4 linked regions of the Saccharomyces cerevisiae S288C genome follow. The gene in region 3 interacts genetically with the main gene of each other region. Each region holds a gene or a part of one and is shown on either strand. Other genes may lie near its edges. The genes, in order: RAD51, PTC1, SKN7 and ERG3.

Region 1 (4,998 bases), on a different chromosome or scaffold from region 3:
CAAGTTCGTGTAGTTTTTCGGTATCCAACCCTACCCTTAAAATGTATTGTGCATACTGAAAATTAGAATATATGTCTTGAGTTTTCTTAACTACCTCCCCGTACATTTCAATGGTTTTCCATCTTGGTAGCAAGCTCTTCTTGTTTTTCTTGCCAAGGTGAAATTTGGCCACATTATGTGATTCTGATGCAGTCACCTCATTTGTGAGGCAAAGACTATTGTAAACGTTAAAATCTAGTGACACATGTCTAGGAAGTGAAATGGAACTTGTACTTCTATTGATATCGTTTGAAGAGCCTGATCCGCTTGGATTATTCAAAAAGTCCAAATCATTCGATTGACTAAAAGACAGAGCGACAGATTCATTCTGAGAGGGAGGGGGCTCAGCGAAGTCGTGAAACTCGGAATTACCGTCTGCCGATGTGCCATTTAAAATTTCGGATGAAATTTCAGAAGCAATTTCAATTTCACAAGAACCTTGTGATTTTTCCTTCAGTGAGGAAGAAGCATCGTCCTCAACGTCGTTCTCAAACTCGTCCTGCTCAGGAAGAATCTTTCTTGTGGGAAAAGAGTTATATTTTTCAATCAATGAGGGCGAAGCGTCGATATCCATCGCATCCTCACCAATAGAGGATGAAATTTTTTCTTTATCATTTGTAAACACATCACCTGAGCGTGAAATATGAGATGAAACGGATGACCAGTATTGACGAACTTCTGGTTTATTCAATATCAGAGAGGAATCAGAGGAGAATCCGCTTGATTCCAACTGTTTATCAACCTCATTATAAGCTCCAATTTCAGGGTATGCACCAGGAGTATTTGAGCAAATAGTCATGGACATTATGGGTACTGCCTGATTTTAACAAAGGGATACTCGTAATGTCAACCGTACTTCTCTTGCTGTTAGCAAAAGTATTGTTCTATTCTTTTTTCCAAGTACAATTTTTTATTCAATTTAAAAACGTCGAAACGAAGACAAGGAAATTCATTGCCATAAAGAAGTGTATGGTATTTTACGTTGGTTTTATAAGAGGATGGCGACATATCAGAAAATTTTTCTCTTCACTCCCCTAAAAGGATAAAGCCGCGCGGACCCTGCAGGAGGAAGTAGTCATCGGGAAGAAGAGTAGAAAAATACATATATTTCATGGGTGACAGACAATACGAAAGTTATTTAAAAGAACTGAAAAAAAAGGTTAAGACCGCAGTAGGGTTGCGAGGTATATGACAAAATATATGCAAAAATCTAAGACAGTGGATGGAAATGAAGATAAAAATGTACGGAACGCAACCTAAGAAAAAGAGGAGAATTGAAAGTAAACCTGTGTAAATAAATAGAGACAAGAGACCAAATACCTACTCGTCTTCTTCTCTGGGGTCACCAACACCATCTTCATAGATCGCGAACACACATTCAGCCTCTGGTAAGCAAGGTGAGTCAACAACTTTGCATAATCTTTGACATCCCTTACCCTTTTTGAAACCTAATCGCGTGGTGGAAGAATGTGCCATAATATTACCACCGATAGGCTTCTTTGGATCTGGATTAAAAGCCATACCACCATCAACTTGGGCGACCACTTGGTTAGTAACGACGACTGCAACACCAAATTGGTCGGCCAGCCTTTGCAAAGCACGCATAAATTTGGCTAAATGCATTTGCCTTGCGCTTAGTTCACCACGACCAGAAAAATCCGTACGGTATAGAGCCATAACAGAATCGACCACAATCAAGGAAAACCGAGACTCGCTCATCATTTGGGCAGCAGCATCCAGAAGTCTTAACTGATGATCGGCGTTATAGGCTCTTGCATACGCAACGTTGTTCAAAGCATCATCCGGGTCTAATCCGAACCGCTGAGCTATGGATACCAATCTTACCGGCCTGAAAGTACCTTCGGTATCGATATACAAACACTTACCTTCACCGCCACCAATATCCAATGGAATTTGGCATGTCACGGCCAAAGTGTGACATAGCTGGGACTTACCTGTCCTGAATTCACCGAAAAGCTCAGTAATAGAACCAGTTTCCACACCACCACCCAAAAGAGTGTCCAAATTCTTAGAACCCGTTGTCAAACAAATCAGCTCCGATCTTCTCATATGAAAATCAGCAGCCGTGACAAATCCCATAGGCACTAGCCTTGCCGCTTCGTTTAGCAACTTATCTGCCTTAGCTTCCGATATACCTTTGATTTCCAATAAATCCTTTCTGGGAGCATATGCTACCGCTTCAGCAGTGTGAAGCCCACTCTCCCTTAGTTTTTTCACATCCGCCATAGTAATCCCGTTCACTTGCAGTTTTTCTATTGGCACAAACGAACCTAAGGCAGCTTCATCGTATGCTTCATCCTCCATTTCACCTTGCGCTTCCGCTTGCTCCTGCAATCCGCCACCATCGCCGGAGCCGTTGGTGGCCTCAATATCTTCGCTGCTACCGTTGCCGTTTCCATCAACGACTGACTGTGAAAGGTCTGCTGGTACAGTGGACATCAACGAACCGTTCCCGTACTGAAGCTGTGACTCTGATATATGTTGTTCTTGAACTTGAGACATATGACGATAACAAATTAGTAGGCCTTTAACAAATAACTACGTCTGCTCTTTGTCGCTACACTCAACTACTAGTATATGGAAACTACGGAAGATAGAAGAAGTAACTGAGAAAATTTTTTCTCCAGTCCCCACTATTCCCCTTTATGGTCCCACCACGCGTACTGTAAACAAACCAGGACAGAAATAGCGGAAATGACGCGTAGCATAGGGTAACGAAGTGTGGCCTAGTCGTGGGATATGGTGAGACGGTGATAAAACACTGATACAACCGGTTGGAATGCTCAGGGAATGCTCAAGAAGGCCACCTGTTGCAGGATAGCTAAACTAGATTGGTTGAAGAACGGTAGTGGTGCATTTCCAACATTTACCGTCCATTTTAATTTACTCTGTGACAATGATAAGCCAGATCGCTATTAACGTGGTGTAGTCATGTGACCGGATGGCACTGCCGGTGGCAAAAAAGTGCAAATGCAGGGGCGATGAAAAGAGAGGAAGAAAGAGTTTATGGCATAGTAGAAAGGCCAATTAAATCGGGAAGCTGCTAAGTAAGTTTGAACCGTAGTTTCGAAGTAGAGTGCGTTTCTTGCGAATTGTGGTGAAAATATTGAACAGTGAATAAAGCATAAAAAAAAAATGTCGGATCCAAGTTCTATTAACGGTGGTATCGTCGTTGCGATGACAGGTAAAGACTGTGTGGCCATTGCCTGTGATTTGCGTCTCGGAAGCCAGTCACTAGGTGTGTCGAACAAGTTTGAAAAAATCTTCCACTATGGGCATGTGTTCTTAGGGATTACCGGTCTGGCTACCGACGTGACTACTCTGAACGAGATGTTCCGCTACAAGACGAACCTATATAAGTTGAAGGAAGAAAGGGCCATTGAGCCTGAAACGTTTACCCAATTAGTGTCAAGTTCACTTTATGAAAGAAGATTCGGTCCATACTTTGTGGGGCCGGTGGTAGCAGGTATTAATTCCAAGTCCGGGAAGCCCTTTATTGCGGGATTCGACCTAATCGGCTGTATCGACGAGGCCAAGGATTTTATCGTTAGCGGTACTGCATCCGACCAACTGTTCGGTATGTGTGAGTCCCTGTACGAACCTAATCTAGAGCCAGAAGATCTTTTCGAAACTATAAGTCAGGCCCTACTGAATGCTGCTGACCGTGACGCTCTATCAGGCTGGGGAGCTGTAGTATACATCATCAAGAAGGATGAAGTGGTGAAGAGATACTTGAAGATGAGACAAGATTGATCGGTTCATGGCAATCTCATGGTCCCAAAAACAACCCCAACACAAAATATCAGCGGAACGTCAAGAATTTTCCACATCCAACTCATCTTTAATTTTTAAGTAAACAGAATAGATCGAATGAATATATAAATACTAAAATGCATAAAGTCAGTCGAAGATCTGAGTAGCTATCCGCTGGCTGTCCTTTTCTAAGGAGCAGCGTTATTCACCAGCCGCGAGTCTCTTGAAAAATTGGCGCTTTTAATACTTATTAGGATGGGGAACTTGATTCTTTGACGGGTTTGTCAGCAATTAGTACGACTATCCTACTTCATCAAGAAACGAAACTATGATCGAAGAGAAGAAGGAACTTAAGAAACGCAGGGTTCTTCAAATGGCCAGATTTTATGGTGCGGCCGCCTTCACCCTGATTACCATGAGGCTTATCTCCAGGGCCATAAAAGTACGAAAATGTATGTATTTTGTCCTAGTTCAGTGGCCAAAACTAATAATAGGATATAGTTACTAACACCGTCTACTGAAAGCAGACGTCCCCAGCATATTTCAACAAAATTACAAGCTTCCACCTTTTTCCCAAAGGAATGAAGCCATGTCAGCGTTAACGTATGCATCCGCCGCTTCAATAGGTACGTTCAGCACATTGATATTCGGCTTTTGTTGGGCACTTGACATTTCAACGGCAAGAGAGTTTGTATTTAAGACTAGAGAGTTCATGAGCCTTCCACAAGCCTTAGAAACCGACACGAGCATGGACGAAGAAACTTCCAAACTAACTAAGCAATTGCAAGACCTCCTGTCGAGCGAAAACAACAAGTAGCACTACGCATTGGCTTAATCTCTTTAAACTGTAAATAATGGTATAACTACGAGCCGTTGCCGGCTGGTCACATATCGTATATCCGTATACATTCTTTCTTCTTTTAATTATACATATTGTAATCTTTTTCTTTTTTGCATTCTCTTAAAAATTGATTGATCCATCGGCGAAATGGAAGATGGAATATCAAGCAGTTCTATTGTTCTCGGATATAACTAAGGTACCTTCAATTTGTAGGTGTACACGCTAGGGAGGTTGCTTCGTGCTGTACCGCTTCTATTAAGTTTTTGAAATTCACAATGAGCATACCTCACAGTGCAAAACAGAGTAGCCCTCTCTCAAGTCGGCGCCGGTCAGTAACTAATACT
Region 2 (4,737 bases), on a different chromosome or scaffold from region 3:
TAACAATACCACCAACAACGACAGCAATAACAAGAACAATTCTATCACTACCGGAAATGATAATGAAAATATAGTTAATAATGATTTACCAACGACCGTTGTTTCCAATCCTGGAGATAACCCTCCTCCAGCCGACAACGGTGAAGAATACTTGACATTAAATGATTTCAACGACCTTAATATTGACTGGTCGACCACTGGAGATAATGGCGAATTAGACCTCAGCGGCTTCAATATATAGCTTGGTCTTCCTATTGTTAACTATTGACTTGTAAACCGTGTTGTGCATTCGCTACGTGAATTTAATTGGTATATATATGATAGAATATGTTCTCCAGTTTAAAAATCTGGAATCCTATTCTACTAAAACCTCATTCGTCATGTGAGAGATGCATGCAAAATAGATTTGGTACGTTTATACATATACATACATACACACATACACATTGCATATCTCTATGTCTATGCATAATTTTTGCGCGGTTTATAACGGATCCTTCTTAGAGGAAGACAACCATGACCGTTACATTATCTGTTGTGCCATTTTCCAAAGCATATCTAACCAAGACTTTTGCAGCTTCATTAGGTTCAGTAATATCCTTGATTAATTCGCATGCATCTTGATCATCAATAACATCCCATAATCCATCACACGCTAGGATTAAAAATTTGTCCTCAGAAGTTATTTCTACGCTCGTGGTAAATGGGCTGCCCACTACTAAACTATCAAAAAATTTATCCCCTAACGATCTCGTCACTGCCAGCATACCATTTACACGACTTTTCATTATCAGGCCACCTGCTTGTTCAACTCTCTGCATCTCCAAAGTGTCAGATGCCTTATGATCATAAGTCAGTCTTATGCTGTTCCCGTTTCTAAACAATACTATTCGAGAATCACCAACATTTGCTGTATATAACTTTCTTTGGTGTTGGGCTAAATCCATTGAATCATCAGAAACTGAATCCGGAAGCTCCCAACGTAATACGCAAACAGCAGCAGTACATCCACTATTTCCTACAAGTTTTGTATTAATTTCTTCGTCAATGGCTAGGAATGAATCGTTCAATACATCTCTAACATCTCGTGTTTCATCTGCCAAAATGTTTTGCTCTATAATTGTATGAAGATGTTTACCACACCATTTGGAGGCCTGAATCCCAGCATGTCCATCAAACACCGCGAAATATCCCCAATCTAATCTTGAAGCAAAGTTTTTAACATACGTATGAACATCTTCCATTGTCCTCCGAAATTTCGAGTTTTTATTTTCCGCCACACCTACTCTATAAGTTATGTCATATGGTGTTTCTGGCCTTTCTAAGATTTCAGAATGATTACTCATTATAATGATTTTTAAAAGATAAATGCAGTGCCTAAATGATATATGAAGTAAGAATGTGCAAAATCTCGTATACTCGGTATAGAATGGAATTTAACTCACCTCCTAATTGATAATACTGCCTATTTATTTTCTTTTCAACGACAACAAAAATAAGCGTTCACTTACTTAAACTATCAAAACTTGTTGTGTTTGGGGTCTGTTAATGTAAAGGAATCCGGATAAAAATTTTGAGACAACTTTGAGAGCTGTTTAAGACGAAAAAAAGTGACCTCAAACACACGAATAATAATGTTTAACTAAGCTTTCAATTTGCAAAGGTATACTTTGTCTTTTGAGTTTTAGTTTCCTATAAAATTAGGACAACAAACCCTCTCAGATGTGTTCACCAGTTTTCCTTTGCAGTTAGAATTCGCGAAGGCCCCGACGCCCTACCTATATTAAGTTTTTGAAACAAATATTGCACGTGATACAAAATGTACACATATTAAGCTTTGTTGAAGCATTACTTATATACGTAAATCTATTATAGAAAAATGTAAATGGGCACATCACAAGTATAAACCTTCTAAATTTTCCTCAACTTTATTTTTCATGACTCTCTCCTTGGCTTGTTTAAAATCCTCCGCTGTAACTTGCATTCTTCTCTCTCTAAGGGCTAACAAACCTGCTTCTGTACACATTGCCTGGATATCGGCGCCTGACAAATCATCCTTTGTTGTTACTAAAGTTTCAAGATTAACGTCCTCACTTAAATTCATCTTGGAAGTGTGAATCCCTAAAATTTTTTTCTTAGTACTTAGATCAGGGTTTTCAAATAAGATTTTACGATCAATTCTCCCAGGCCTGATTAATGCTGGGTCAAGAGTCTCGATTTTGTTAGTGGCCATAATCACCTTCACATCCCCTCTGTCGTCGAACCCGTCCAGCTGGTTCAGCAATTCCAGCATGGTTCTCTGAATTTCTCTCTCACCACCACTATTGGAGTCATATCTTTTAGTACCAATGGCGTCTATTTCATCAATAAATACAATACTTGGTGCATTCTCACCCGCTACTTTGAAAATTTGCCTACACAACCTAGGACCATCCCCCAAATATTTTTGAATTAACTCTGAGCCAACAATCCTTAAGAATGTGGCAGATGTTTGATTTGCAACAGCCTTTGCTAGCAATGTCTTACCTGTACCGGGTGCACCATAAAGAATCACACCCTTGGGAGGTTTGATACCCATCTCTTCATACAGTTCGGGGTGTGTTAACGGTAACTCTACAGACTCTTTTATTTCTTGAATTTGAGATTCTAAGCCACCAATATCACTGTATGATTCTGTTGGCGACTTATCCATTTTCATGACCGAAACCATTGGATCGGCGTCATCCTGTAAAACACCTACGATGGACATGGTTTTATGATGCAATAACACAGAACATCCAGGCTCTAGTAACTCTTTATCGACAAAGGATAAGATAGATACATAATAATCAGGCATAGTTGGACTTGTCACTATCGCATGATCATCGTCTATAATTTCTTCAAGGGTCCCAATGCTCAATGGATTTCCACGTATTTCTTCCAATTGTTTCTTTTCCTCCTCCTGCTTCTTTTCAAAGGGTTTTAAAATTTCAGAGTTAGAGACAAATTCTTCTTCTAATAACAAATGGTCTTTAATTCGTTCCATCCTTAGAAGCTTTAACTTACAACGAGTACTTGGATATATGTTGGGTAATTTTTCAGCAGTAGCTGGACCTCCCTTTCTTTTCTTACGACCAAATTTAGATTGAACGGGAGGTTCATATTTGGGTTTCTGATTAGATCCCTTCTTCTTCTTTTTGTCTTGTCCAGATGATACACCTTGTCCCATTTTATTTTCTATTAAAAACGCTGTCTCTTCTTTAACTTGAATTGACTGTAAGCTTGACACTGATACGCATCATATTCACTAATATTCACATTAACCTTCTTTTAGGTAAAAGAAAAGAGACATTTGCCACCGGAGAAAAACCGTTAATAACTCGTTACCCGGAGTGATAAAAATATTGGGAATATAAAAATGACGACAACTGCAGGACTCGAACCTGCGCGGGCAAAGCCCAAAAGATTTCTAATCTTTCGCCTTAACCACTCGGCCAAGTTGCCTTACTAATGATGAATTATTGACTTAAGATATATCCCAAACCTAGGAATATGTAAACCTGCTGGAATATTATTTGTTAGAATAAAAATCAACTATTCTCTCTCAACTAGTAGTCTTACTACGAGTATATTATAATGTACAATGTTAGATGATGACATAAGGTATGAGAAACTGTCATAGAAGTTAGAGGAAGCTGTATTCTGTATACATAATATTATTGCCTTTATTAACAATGGAATTCCAACAATTATCACTTGTTGATAGTTAGAGGTAAAAAATAGTATTAATGAAGAAATAAGTATTGATCTTCTTATACTAAATAAGAGAGGTATATAAAACACACGCCGATTGGTCATATTAATCATGACCAATATAATAGTGATTCCGGTAGTTACTATACATTGATGTGACGACTCATATTCCTCATATATGTACCTACCATATCATGTTCAATTAATAGATCTTTAGCACAGCTTCAGTATTGTCTGAGCTTCTCGTTTAACATTCCTTCTGCAATAGGTGCAATCACACTTAAACGTATACGAGGTGTACATTAATATACGGTGTAAGCATTAGATTGTTACCATAGCAACTCATGTCACTATTAATTACTCTCGTTCCAACATCACTAAATTCCCGTAATTACCACCGCAAAAGAAAAAAGAATACAAGAAATGGAAAACTAGCGCATAATTTTGTTTCTTTCTTTTTCAAAGTTGCAGCCGCTACTATTGATTCGTTTGAAAATAGCACTTGGCGGCTAAACTACCGGCATAGAAAGTGGATCGGGCAAAATTAAAAGGGAAAGAGCGACGGGGTTACGGGACCATTACATAAAAAAAGTATCACAAAATCTATTGTATGCAAAGATATAAACCATCACATTATTGAAATAATATCGTTCTTGATACTTCCATAATCCAAGAAAAATATTTCAAGCACTTTCTTGATGTTCCTTCCTATAATTTTTCACACCATCCTAACCCTCCTGAACTTTGGTAAATATTACTGTTTACCTATTCAAGAAGACGATGATAAATCAGGAAAAGAAATTGAACAAATTTTAGACAATAACATCGAGTCATTAGGACTACTACTAAATTCGATGTCCTTATCCTCGAACTTTACGACAGGCGATCCTGAACTAGATTCGCTCTTCCAAGATGATTTAATCCCCGAGTTATATAGTGTATTAGATGGCTTCTAACACCAAGTATGTGTATTCTAAGGGTATACAAAATAAATACTGCGATACT
Region 3 (5,561 bases):
TGATTGTCAAGTACTTTCCGGACCACCTGCGATAGTTTCCCTTGTCTACTTGAGCAGATATGCTCTTACTGACTAGCAAGAATGATAACAAATTTTATCAGTAAACCCTTTCCTTGCCGTAATTTTTTTTATTTTAGCTTCGTAATTTTTTTTTTCGTATTATTTTTCTTTTTCTTTTTCTTTCTTGATATCATAATCATGGGGAACTTCTCCATATAACAATAGAAGCTAAATAGGTAAATAACCAAGCGTGCACTGATACAAAATAACGAAAAGTGGCACAAAAATGACATTGACTATCAAAATAGGAACCTTAAACGATAGCGATCAATCTGCAGTGCATAATGGTACAGAAAATGGCTCTGATTTTCGAAAGATAACTCCCACAGAGGAAGAGATCTGTGATGACGTAGTTTTGTTATGGAAGGAAGAGCCCGGAACTGAAGACGCTACGATTCAGCATCTTTATGACAGGATTACGGAAAGAAATCAATCGTGGAAATTGAGTGCTTCTCGTTTTCGAAAAATTCTAAATGAGCACCATCTTTATGACACAGATCTAGAGACCGTTTCTCTATATAAAGATAAAATACATTTTCCAAAAGCCCTAGATTCTGATGCTAAGGTCGAAGTGAAATTTATTGATGACGAACATGGAAGGGGCCTTTTCGCTAAAAGAGATTTTTCCAAGGGCCAAATCATCCTGAAAGAAAATAAACCTATCGTATATATTCCACCACTGGACAAGCTTTTTTTAATATCTAATGGAAAGGCATGTGCTCGATGTGGTAAGGCGCTATATGATTTGACCCAGCACAAAATTATGGTCCATTATTTGGATTGTGAAGTTTGCAAAGCTATTTGGTGCAGTGAAAAATGTAAAAAAGCACATGCGTCGTTACATGAGCTTTTATACCACTCATGGAGATCGAATAGAATAGACATTCTTCATGCTGGTAATTGGAAAAGATTTGTTAACTACTGTGAGAAATATTGTTTTACCGCTGCCTTTTCAGTTGGTCTTATATATGGATCCATGCTTTTGGATACTACAGGAGAGGTCAAAGAGCAATGGCAAAAATTGGCAAGCATCTCACAAAGGGAAAGAATTAAATTAAGAGACGCCAGCGGTATCGGCAGTACGTTTAGTTTACTGAATGGTACAACTGTACATACTGAAGAGGAATCTGATAATGGTACCAAAAAGGGCGTTGAGAAGAATATTGATGACGAGACTGTTTGGGAGAAGTGCTACGAATTATTTTGCGGTGCATTTCCAAAAGCTTCTGAAGAAATAGATTTCGAGAAATTTTTGACCATGATCGGGACGTTCAATATCAATCAATATAACGGCCAGGTATATCATTGGATCTCCTTCATAAACCATGATTGTGAACCAAACGCCTATATTGAGCAAGTAGAAGAACATGAGGAACTGAGGTTGCATGCAAGGAAACCAATAAAGAAGGGGGAACAAATACGTATTACGTACGTCAATCCCTTACATGGGGTGAGGTTGAGGCGTAGGGAATTAAGAGTTAACTGGGGCTTCTTATGCCAGTGTGACCGCTGTCAAAATGAACTATCTACATTTGAAAGAGTTCCAAATCTAGAGAAAAAGAATGCGGATGCTAATTTAGGAGTAGAAAAAATAGATTCCAATGATAGTAGTGAAGATGGCTCTAAGAAATCAACTGGTAATCGTAAATCTTCCATGAGAGAGGCCCAGCCAGATTTAAAAGAAATACTGAAGAATGGAAAAGAATTTGAATTAGACATACCAGAAACTGTTGATACACAAGGGAATGTAAGAAAAACCTCAGTCAGATTCGATTCAAACGTTTCGGTCGCAGTGGATGAAAGATAAGAGATAAACGCATACTAAATTACTGTGTCTGTTATTGTTTTTGGCTATATATATATATATATATATATATATATAGTAAATATAAGAAAAACAAAGAAAAAAGAAATGAGAGTGAATTTGAGAGCGGCAGAAAGAAATAAAATTCAAACATTTTGATGTAGATAACTGGAAATAACTGAAGGGGATAAAATATTGAACGAAAAGAAAATGATAATCCTCCAAGATCACATAATAAATATAAAGAAACTCCTCAGGAATACAGAATGTCCTCTGCTAACTTAGACGCAAGGCTATTTGTAAAATTTTATGATAGCTGGTTTTCTTGAAGTGTAGATTGTGGTAATTGCGGAGTGGAACCCATTGAGGAATGTGGTACAGTGTTGATTTCATGTTCCAAATTCGGTATGGCTACGTCTGACCTAGCATTAGCAATGGCGTTGTGATGCTGCTGCTGCTGCTGAGCATGGAAAATTTGATGCTGCTGTTCTTGTTGACCTTGTTGAACATGCTGTGCAGAAGATATAGAGGCACCTGGGGTAACAGGGGTAGTAGTTGACGGATTATCTTGTGGTAACATGGCTAACGACTGTTCATTAATCGTATTAGGATTCGAATTAGCAGTATTGGTGTTGGAATGAGTTTGTGGCGAAGAGTTGCGAGGTGGTAATTGCTGTTCGCATAAAGGAATACGGTCCTTTAGATAACGTATTAAAATTGAGTGTAAATCATCCCTCGTGAATGGTTTGGCCAAGATATCATTCATTCCATGTTGTAAGTATGTGATCAAGTCTTGATTCATAATGTTACCTGTCATGGCAATGATGGGAGTCTCATTATCAAAACTTCTGACAATGGATGTCGCTGTGGCACCATCTAGGTTTGGCATAACAATGTCCATTAAAACCAAATCATACCTATACTTCTCTAGTGTTGAGATAGCTGAAAGACCGTCGCTGACAACTTGGACAGTACAGCCATATTTCCGTAAAAATTTTGAACACAACTGTATAGACACTGCGTCATCTTCCACCAACAGTACATGGAAACCTTTTCGTAGCGTGACTGTGTTATTTTGAGCATTTGGTGTTAGGCTATTCTGATCGGGTAAATTAGGTAGTTGTAAGGAAACTGTAGATGTTGCCGGAGAAGCATTGTTGGTGTTGTTGTTGCTTTGGATAGCTGTTGTTGTTGCTGGGTTGGTATTACCAGTTGGGTTACGGTTTCCATTGTCGCCAAATATTGGCACTTCAATACCATTATTTGCCAAAGTGGAACACAGAGTGTTGAAGTTGTTGAGTAAATTTTCATTTATGGTCTTGAATGTTATCAAACTTTCGATAACCGTATTGTATTTCGAGTTCAACTTTTGTAGTTCTACTTTAGTAGCATAACTCTCCATTTTGGACATATCCAACTCCTTTTGTAGTTTGTCTACTCGCCTTCTTAGATTTCCAAATGCATCTTTACTTACGGTATTGCTTAACAACAGCTCTGTGGTGGATTCATTCAAAAGAGACCCAGAAGGATTGTTGGGGTTAGTGCCTTCACTATTGAAATGCAAAAGAGCCTTTTGAGATTCATCCAAAAGCACTTTCCTTTGCGCCGGAATTTTCCTTTTGATGTTATCGAGACCTTTTCCGTAATGGACTCTAAATTCTGGATGCTGAAACTCCCAACTTTGTTCGCCATATTTACATCTCTGTCTTTCCTCGGGACTTCTCTTAACCTTGTGAAAGTCATACTTGTTTAGTTGCCTTACAAAAGATGCAAAATTTGAATGTTTGAAGTGATTAGGCAATATATGCGTAGTGAACTTTCCTGTGTCCAAAACGACGAAACTTTTGCCGTTCTCAGTCCAAGTTACAATGTCAGGATATTCATTGTTTTCCAGTATCCTGAACAGTTTTCTTACGAACTCATTTGCTGGAGCCTTTGCTCCCGCATTAGCACTGCTGATATTTGTGTTTCCAGCTGGTTGTTGAACGTTATTAGTCTTGTTGTTAATGTGCAGCATGTCAGAAGAGTTGTTTGGCTGCATCGTGTTCATCAGTCGAGGCCCGCTCTGCAACAAGTCCATTCCTAAAAGGTCTGCAGTCGAACTGTTCTCGGTGGTGTTATTATTGCTATCGCCGGTGGTTTTATTGACGTTGCTATTTATGGTGGAAAAGCTCATAGTGGATATCAAAAGTAAGCAACGAAAAAATAGGAATAAGAATAATGGAAACAAAGAGAGGATAAAAAAACTTCTATAACAGTCCTTTAATAATACAGCAATTTCGTTGCTTTTTTGTTGGTCTTGGAAAAAACAGAATGTCCTCTAATGAGCGAGTTAAATATATGACCCAAACAAAAGCAGCAAGCCTAGGTAAGATGTTGGAAGATAGTAAGGTGACCAGGGATATCTGTGTAATGTTAGTAAAACTTTGACAAATGTTTCAGATCCTGGAAGCACTTTCAATCTTGTCACATTCGATGGGATGACAGTTAAGCTCAGTAAAGCTGACCACATTTTGCTCATAGTTAAAGAAAGAAAAAATTCAGAATTTCGGAAAATCCATGTACGCGCATCGATGAGCCCTGCCCTCACTTATGGCATCCCTATTATAGCAAAACCCTGCTTATACTTGTGTTAGCCCTACTTTTAATCGACTTTAAACCTATGCATTTAAGAAAAACTTTTTTTTTTTTTTTTTCGGATGATATAACCGACCTATAATTTCCGAACCGACTTTGGGAAATCACAGCGAAGCGTTTACTTAAGCCCTGATTATATATAGATGAGGGGTAAATATGTCAAAGTACAATGGAATGGTGAGGTATAAGCAGTGATTATGAGACGTGATAAACTAGAAATTTGCAGGAACAATTATTCATTTTTTGGAGTTTAAATAAAACGAAAATACATACATACTTTACATATATAAATAGAAGAAATGTTTCGATAAAGTGGGAAAAACGATTAGAAGATACAAATTAATAATAGAAGTAGAAATAAAAGATAGAAAAATTAGAAAAAAATAAAAAGAAAAGGAAAAGAAGAGGAAGGGCAAGAGGAGCGATTGAGAAATCATATTTCGAATCTTCCACTGACAAATTCGTCATCCATGTGTTGGTCGCCGTCGAAGTCCATCTGCGAATGGCTGTTGTTCATATTTTTCTCTTGGTTGAATCCATCATTGATGTCCTCGTCCCCGTCATCATCGATGACATCTTCGTCTGGAGGTAAGTTTGGATTTCCCGGGATAAAGGAACCAGGTTCCATAAAGTACGAGTTTTGTAGGAATTTTCTGTTGTTATTAACGTGTTCATCGATGGCGGACTCATCAACAAAGGTGAAACCAGCAAACTTTGCTTGCATGGCTGGAGATAGCGGGGTAGCAGTCATCATCGGCTGGTGCTTGTTCATGTATGAAGTTGAAGCTGTTGTGAACTCTGGGTCAAAATTCGAGGTATCCGTCTCCGAGACTAGGTGAGGTTTGAAAGGTGGTGGAATTTTTTTCTGCTTCAAGGCCTCCCAGTCGATATCTGCGAAAAATGGATGAGCTCGTAGTTCTCTTCCATCATCAATGGCACCGAGTCTATGTTTGGGGTTTCTGTTTAGTAAACCCTTTACAAAAGACCTCCCCTCTTGTGACAGTACGTCTCTGGGGAATTTGACTTTACCAAAGGCAATTTTTTGGTACATTTTTTGATT
Region 4 (5,086 bases), on a different chromosome or scaffold from region 3:
CAGCCCGTCGAACTCCTCCATTAGCATAAAACAACTTTCTGTTATTATTTCGCTCATTTCCAATAGTGACGATGGTAAAATATATTTCGTGTTGACACCGCCTCGGTGGGGAACACGTGAACTTAAACCTAGAATGCCGCCAAGTCTGCATGAGTATAACGAGACATCGTAAGATTTTCTTATCGTGACATCTAGCTCATTAGTCGTGGGCATGAATTGAGATTTTGTTAGAATGGAATTCAGAAAATTAAACTTTTTGTTTTCCGTTTGCTTGGGCAACATGGGTCGAAAAGTCATGAATTTAAAAATGTTACTGATGGAATTTGTTAAAAACGTTTGCGAGTCTATTAATGATTTATCACCTACGGTGTTTTTTGTCGAATCTTTTTTAGTACCGTCTTTAAAGTTTCTTTTCTCAATTATTTCGTCGACTGCTTCTACCTCTGAACCAATACTGGGGTCCATCGTTGCAGCATTAGCATTTTTACTTGAGCCGTCCAGGATATCATAAGAAGATTGGAAGAGGTCATTGATTTTGAATAGATTTTCTAGAATGGGTACTGTTTTTTCATTAATTCTATAAGCCTGGTATTGAGATTGTTCTTGGAGGCTATTATCATCTATTGGAGGATTTAAGAATTTCCCTAACTGCTGACAGTGTACGAACTTGAAATTTTCATTGATACTTTTCATGATGCTGGATCCCTTTAGGTGTGCACCATTCTCAATTTCCTCTTGAGTTAATAACTGGCAACCAGAGGCATCAACGACGTCAGGCAGCATAAACTCCATATCAAATTCGTTATATGATTGACGTATAGTGGTGAAAACTCTTTCAACAGCATCAAAATACTTATTCAAACGGGTTAACTGTGACAATCTGATAAACGCGAGTGCCATAGTAGTCAATTGACCTGATGGAACAGTACGGTCTGGAAATCGATTTCTCAGATCAGATTTCCAAAAATATTTCAAAATAGGAATTCTATTAGGGGTATCAAATGATCTTAATATGAAATCTGCAACATGTTTTGCTTTGTTAAGTAATCGTTTATCCATAGATAATTCGTATGCAGACAGTAACCCTTCTAGGACACGGGTAGTGATGTCAGGAATATCAATAACTTCCATTGCTAACGGAGGTACTCGAAAGTCAAAATCTTCTATTATATTAACAGAATCTTGAAAAAGTTTCGTCTCGCCACATAGATACAATGTATCTAGAGAATCAATTAGATCTATGGGCCAAGTAGATTCCCTTCTGAGGTTACTTTTCAGCAGCAACTGCTCTTGGTTCCATGATTTCATGAAAATGTCCTTTATCTGTTTTATCATATCAACATCTGGTGGCAATTGCATTGCCGGCTGTATCTTATGAACGTCATTCTGGCTTATAGAAGTTAAGGAAGGTGATGAGTATTCGAACAAGACGGGATACTTTTCCTTATATGTCAAAAGAGACGAAATTGGTAAATTCGAACCAATCTGGTGAGACGATCCCTTTAACAGCAAGGGAAAGTACTTGTTTTTTTCTCTCAATGTAGCTGGATCTGACAAATCCACTGCAACGTTGCCATTTTCCTTGTCGGTGGCTATTCGGTCAGAACCGGTTGACGATAGGTCTGGAGGATCCAGTTTCGAAGAACCTTCTGTATTGTGCTCATAGTTGTTTATGGACGGTAGTGAGTCGTTTAAAGCGTACGAATTCAAGATATCGATTTCATTCTGGAACGTATAGTAAAACAATAGCGATATGGTAATGAAAAGTAAGAGAACCGATCGTACTCTTCTGAAAAGAGAGTATACTAATCGCGCTATGGACATAAGGTTTTGCTTATAGAGTAGTGGCGGCCTTTTTCTAGTTAACACTTGCGCTTCACCGAAATCTTGGGCATTTTAAAGCTTCCAGCTTCCTATTTGCCTGTTCTTAAATTTTCCAGCTCTTCGATTTTCTGTTTTTTTTTTCACTAGAATAGGAAAAAGAGCCATTAAATGAACGCAAAAATTTAATATACGAATAGCGCATATTGCACTAACGTGAGGTGTACATCATAATGATATGCGTATCTTAAAACATGTATGTGTATATAAATATATAAACGTTATTCGTTGTGTGAAAGTTCTTGAACGTGAAAGAAAGAAAAAAGATGAGACAAACAAGGCAACCGTATTCAGTTGTTCTTCTTGGTATTTGGGTCGTTTTCATAGATTCTATCATTATCATCACCTTCGACCTCCTTGATGAAATGTTCAACTTCCTTAACTTGAGCGTCCCAGGTCTCCTTAGCATCTCTTAACTTAGGATCAAACAATGAGTCATCTGGTCTACGGTAAGAACCCCCTAGTCTGTCCCACAGAGTGGTGAATTGACCGTAGTTGTAGTTGAAATATAGATGGTGAACCGTGTGGCAGGCAGTACCGTTGACGGCAGGATTGTTTGATAGGTATTGACCGTCATGAATCATAACAGTCCAAAAGTTAACAAAAGTGAACAGAATCAAATAAGAAACCTTGTGTAATGGCAGAATCAATGGGTAGATGTGGTACGAGATGGATTGCAAAAACCCGTCTACAGGATGGAAAGAATGAGATGCGAAAGGTGTGCAGACCAGCCACTTGTGATGAGGCTTGTGCAGAGCACGGTAGACCCTTGGCCAATGCAACCATCTGTGCGCTAAATACACACCGCAATCAGTGAAAAAGATGAAAGTGAAGTACTCGATAATGAGCTTCCTTACACCGTGGTTTTCATAATCAATCTTCATGTATAGTTTAGAATGGCCGTTCAATTCCATAACAAACCATGGAACGGTCAACATCGACATCCATGGGATAGCACTGACTGCCAACTTGATTTCCATTGCCATTTGGTTTTTCAAGTAACGAGGATGGTTGAAAATCGACTTGTCAAACACAAACACGTAGCTGAGACTAGCCGTGAATAAGTAAAGTAGTAAACCAAAGATCGTAACAATAACCCATAGTGAGAGGAATTCTCTCAAGATGCTGGAACGAGGCAATAGCGATGCAAAAGACGTCGTCGACATATCAAACAGGAATGGCACCTGCCCGTAGAACCTTCTACATTCTTTGACGGCATTCTTGGAGTTCAAAGTCTCCTGCAAAATCGTAGAATTGCTGAACCCACTGTTCAACCCTAGCAATTTCTGCCACTTGACAGGAATATTAGCTGCCAACGAAGCGGGCAGAACTTTAGCGTACAAGTCGTCTAAGACATAATGGTCAGCGACTTCTAAGACCAAATCCATATCTCAAATCTAGACGAATATTTTTCTTATTATCTTTTTTTACAAATGCAACAAACTGACCTCCTCTGCAACCACTTCAAAGAACAAGACAAATGTAAAGAATGAATGAACAAGTGAATGAAAAAACGAATTGATAAGAAAGATAGAAATCCGCCTCTAATATATACCGCGATGTTTCTTTCGACCGTTACATAATAGCAGCAACAACAATACCCGATCGCTGCTGAACCTCTTGTTTCAATGCACCTGCTGTTCTTCTTCACCTTCTATTGTGCCACTTATACGAGCCTGAATTTTTCGTTTATCGCAGCCATCGGCCTCGTATACACCCCGGTTGCCCTGGGGCGCAACTAAACGACCGAAATAATGCCCGGGAGTTTTCGGGTGGTCTGCCCCGGGCACCGATCTCGGTCGTTTAGGCCGCAGTGGGTCGTGCCACACGGCAGCGATGCAAGGGACAACGCGTCGTAACTTGCGATGCCCGACAATCGCAACAAAAGGCGTCGTTTCGCGGTTTTTTCGTATCATTTTTTTTTTCAGTTTTTCTTCTTTCGGCTATGAAAAAAATGGCAGAGCTGCCCTAATCTATTTTTATGGATGCCCTAATATATTGTCACTCTGTACGTAGGGCTTCCAGAATGCCCTTTCAGGAAGGATTCTAGCATAATAGACGCATCATATATTATAGCGTAGTGGTGCCAGATGCTGGGCTGTAAAAGGCTGTAGCAGTAACTGTAGTGTACTAAAGGCTCAGTTTTTTTTTTTTTCTTCTTTTACGTAATGGACGAGGTTGACGATATTCTAATTAACAACCAGGTGGTGGATGACGAGGAGGATGACGAAGAGATGCTGAGTGGGCTGGAAAACGACTCAAAGCAGGACCTCGAGGGGAATGATGACGGTGGTGAAGATGAAGAGGATGACGATGATGATGATGAGGACGATGATGATGACGAGGACGAACGAGAGGACGACGATGAACAGGAGGACGACGATGGTGAGGACGACGCCGCAAGAATGGATAAGACTGCTACACCGACGAATGAGCACCAGCATGATGAGCAAAAGGCTGCTGCTGCTGGTGCTGGCGGTGCAGGCGATAGTGGCGATGCTGTTACTAAGATTGGATCCGAGGATGTGAAATTGAGCGATGTTGATGGAGGAGTGGGGTCCAGGGAAGCATCTTCCTCTACACACGAAGCCTCTGCTAATGGAGAGGTTTATGAGTACTATAAGCACATGTTGAATGCCGCACAGATTGCGGATTCGTACAATATCTACCCCACGGCAGCCATACCCATCCAGACGCACGTCAATGCGTTGGCCGTGTCCAGGGGTCTCAAGTACCTGTTTTTGGGCGGTAGCGATGGATACATAAGGAAGTACGACTTGCTGAACACGCTTGAGGGGAAACTTTCTCTAACTATCCTGCAGAAGCATTCGTTGGCTGAGTCTATTCAGAACGCGGGTATCTTGCAGTCGTACTGGGAAAATGAGATCCCGCAGAAAAAATCAGAAATGAAACTCTCCGCTAATAAGACAGATTACGAGCCCAAAGTTAGCCCCGTTCATTCTTTGGAAGTCCAAAGCGAATGCCTCTTTATACTGAGCGGGCTACAGAATGGTGGGATTACCATGCAGGGCGTTCGCTACATGGAGGGGAGCATTGCGCACTATTTTAAGGGCAGGAATGGACATACCCAAATCGTTAACATACTGAGATTAAACGGTCAAGAGGACAGGTTTTTGAGTGGTTCCTGGGATAAGCGTCTTTTGGAATGGGATTTGCAGACGGGTGACATAGTTAATGAGTTTAA

What was found.
Region 1: mutations in SKN7 (region 3) and RAD51 together harm fitness more than expected from each alone (negative genetic interaction), as found in Saccharomyces cerevisiae (7 studies listed by BioGRID, with this or other methods).
Region 2: mutations in SKN7 (region 3) and PTC1 together harm fitness more than expected from each alone (negative genetic interaction), as found in Saccharomyces cerevisiae (6 studies listed by BioGRID, with this or other methods).
Region 4: mutations in SKN7 (region 3) and ERG3 together harm fitness more than expected from each alone (negative genetic interaction), as found in Saccharomyces cerevisiae (4 studies listed by BioGRID).

Annotation. Positions count from the first base shown.
Region 1 is NC_001137.3:347,544-352,541, reverse strand, and holds RAD51 (recombinase RAD51), read right to left. Parts: upstream 2,563-4,998; coding exon 1,360-2,562; downstream 1-1,359. Other genes in the region: SHC1 (Shc1p), read right to left, coding at 1-844; PUP3 (proteasome core particle subunit beta 3), read left to right, coding at 3,196-3,813; AIM11 (Aim11p), read left to right, coding at 4,142-4,265, 4,341-4,630; TORC2 complex subunit TSC11, read left to right, coding at 4,930-4,998. UniProt on the Saccharomyces cerevisiae protein: Required both for recombination and for the repair of DNA damage caused by X-rays. Its function may be modulated by interaction with other repair proteins. RAD52 interacts directly with RAD51, via its C-terminus.
Region 2 is NC_001136.10:436,518-441,254, reverse strand, and holds PTC1 (type 2C protein phosphatase PTC1), read right to left. Parts: upstream 1,347-4,737; coding exon 501-1,346; downstream 1-500. Other genes in the region: MED2 (Med2p), read left to right, coding at 1-241; proteasome regulatory particle base subunit RPT2, read right to left, coding at 1,895-3,208; YDL007C-A (uncharacterized protein), read left to right, coding at 4,431-4,688. UniProt on the Saccharomyces cerevisiae protein: Serine and threonine phosphatase. Involved in tRNA splicing and cell separation.
Region 3 is NC_001140.6:511,211-516,771, reverse strand, and holds SKN7 (kinase-regulated stress-responsive transcription factor SKN7), read right to left. Parts: upstream 4,041-5,561; coding exon 2,172-4,040; downstream 1-2,171. Other genes in the region: SET5 (S-adenosylmethionine-dependent methyltransferase), read left to right, coding at 287-1,867; serine/threonine protein kinase SCH9, read right to left, coding at 4,935-5,561. UniProt on the Saccharomyces cerevisiae protein: Transcription factor that is part of a SLN1-YPD1-SKN7 two-component regulatory system, which controls gene expression in response to changes in the osmolarity of the extracellular environment.
Region 4 is NC_001144.5:252,044-257,129, reverse strand, and holds ERG3 (C-5 sterol desaturase), read right to left. Parts: upstream 3,270-5,086; coding exon 2,172-3,269; downstream 1-2,171. Other genes in the region: putative mannosidase MNL2, read right to left, coding at 1-1,824; SAGA complex subunit SPT8, read left to right, coding at 4,050-5,086. UniProt on the Saccharomyces cerevisiae protein: C-5 sterol desaturase; part of the third module of ergosterol biosynthesis pathway that includes the late steps of the pathway. ERG3 catalyzes the introduction of a C-5 double bond in the B ring to produce 5-dehydroepisterol.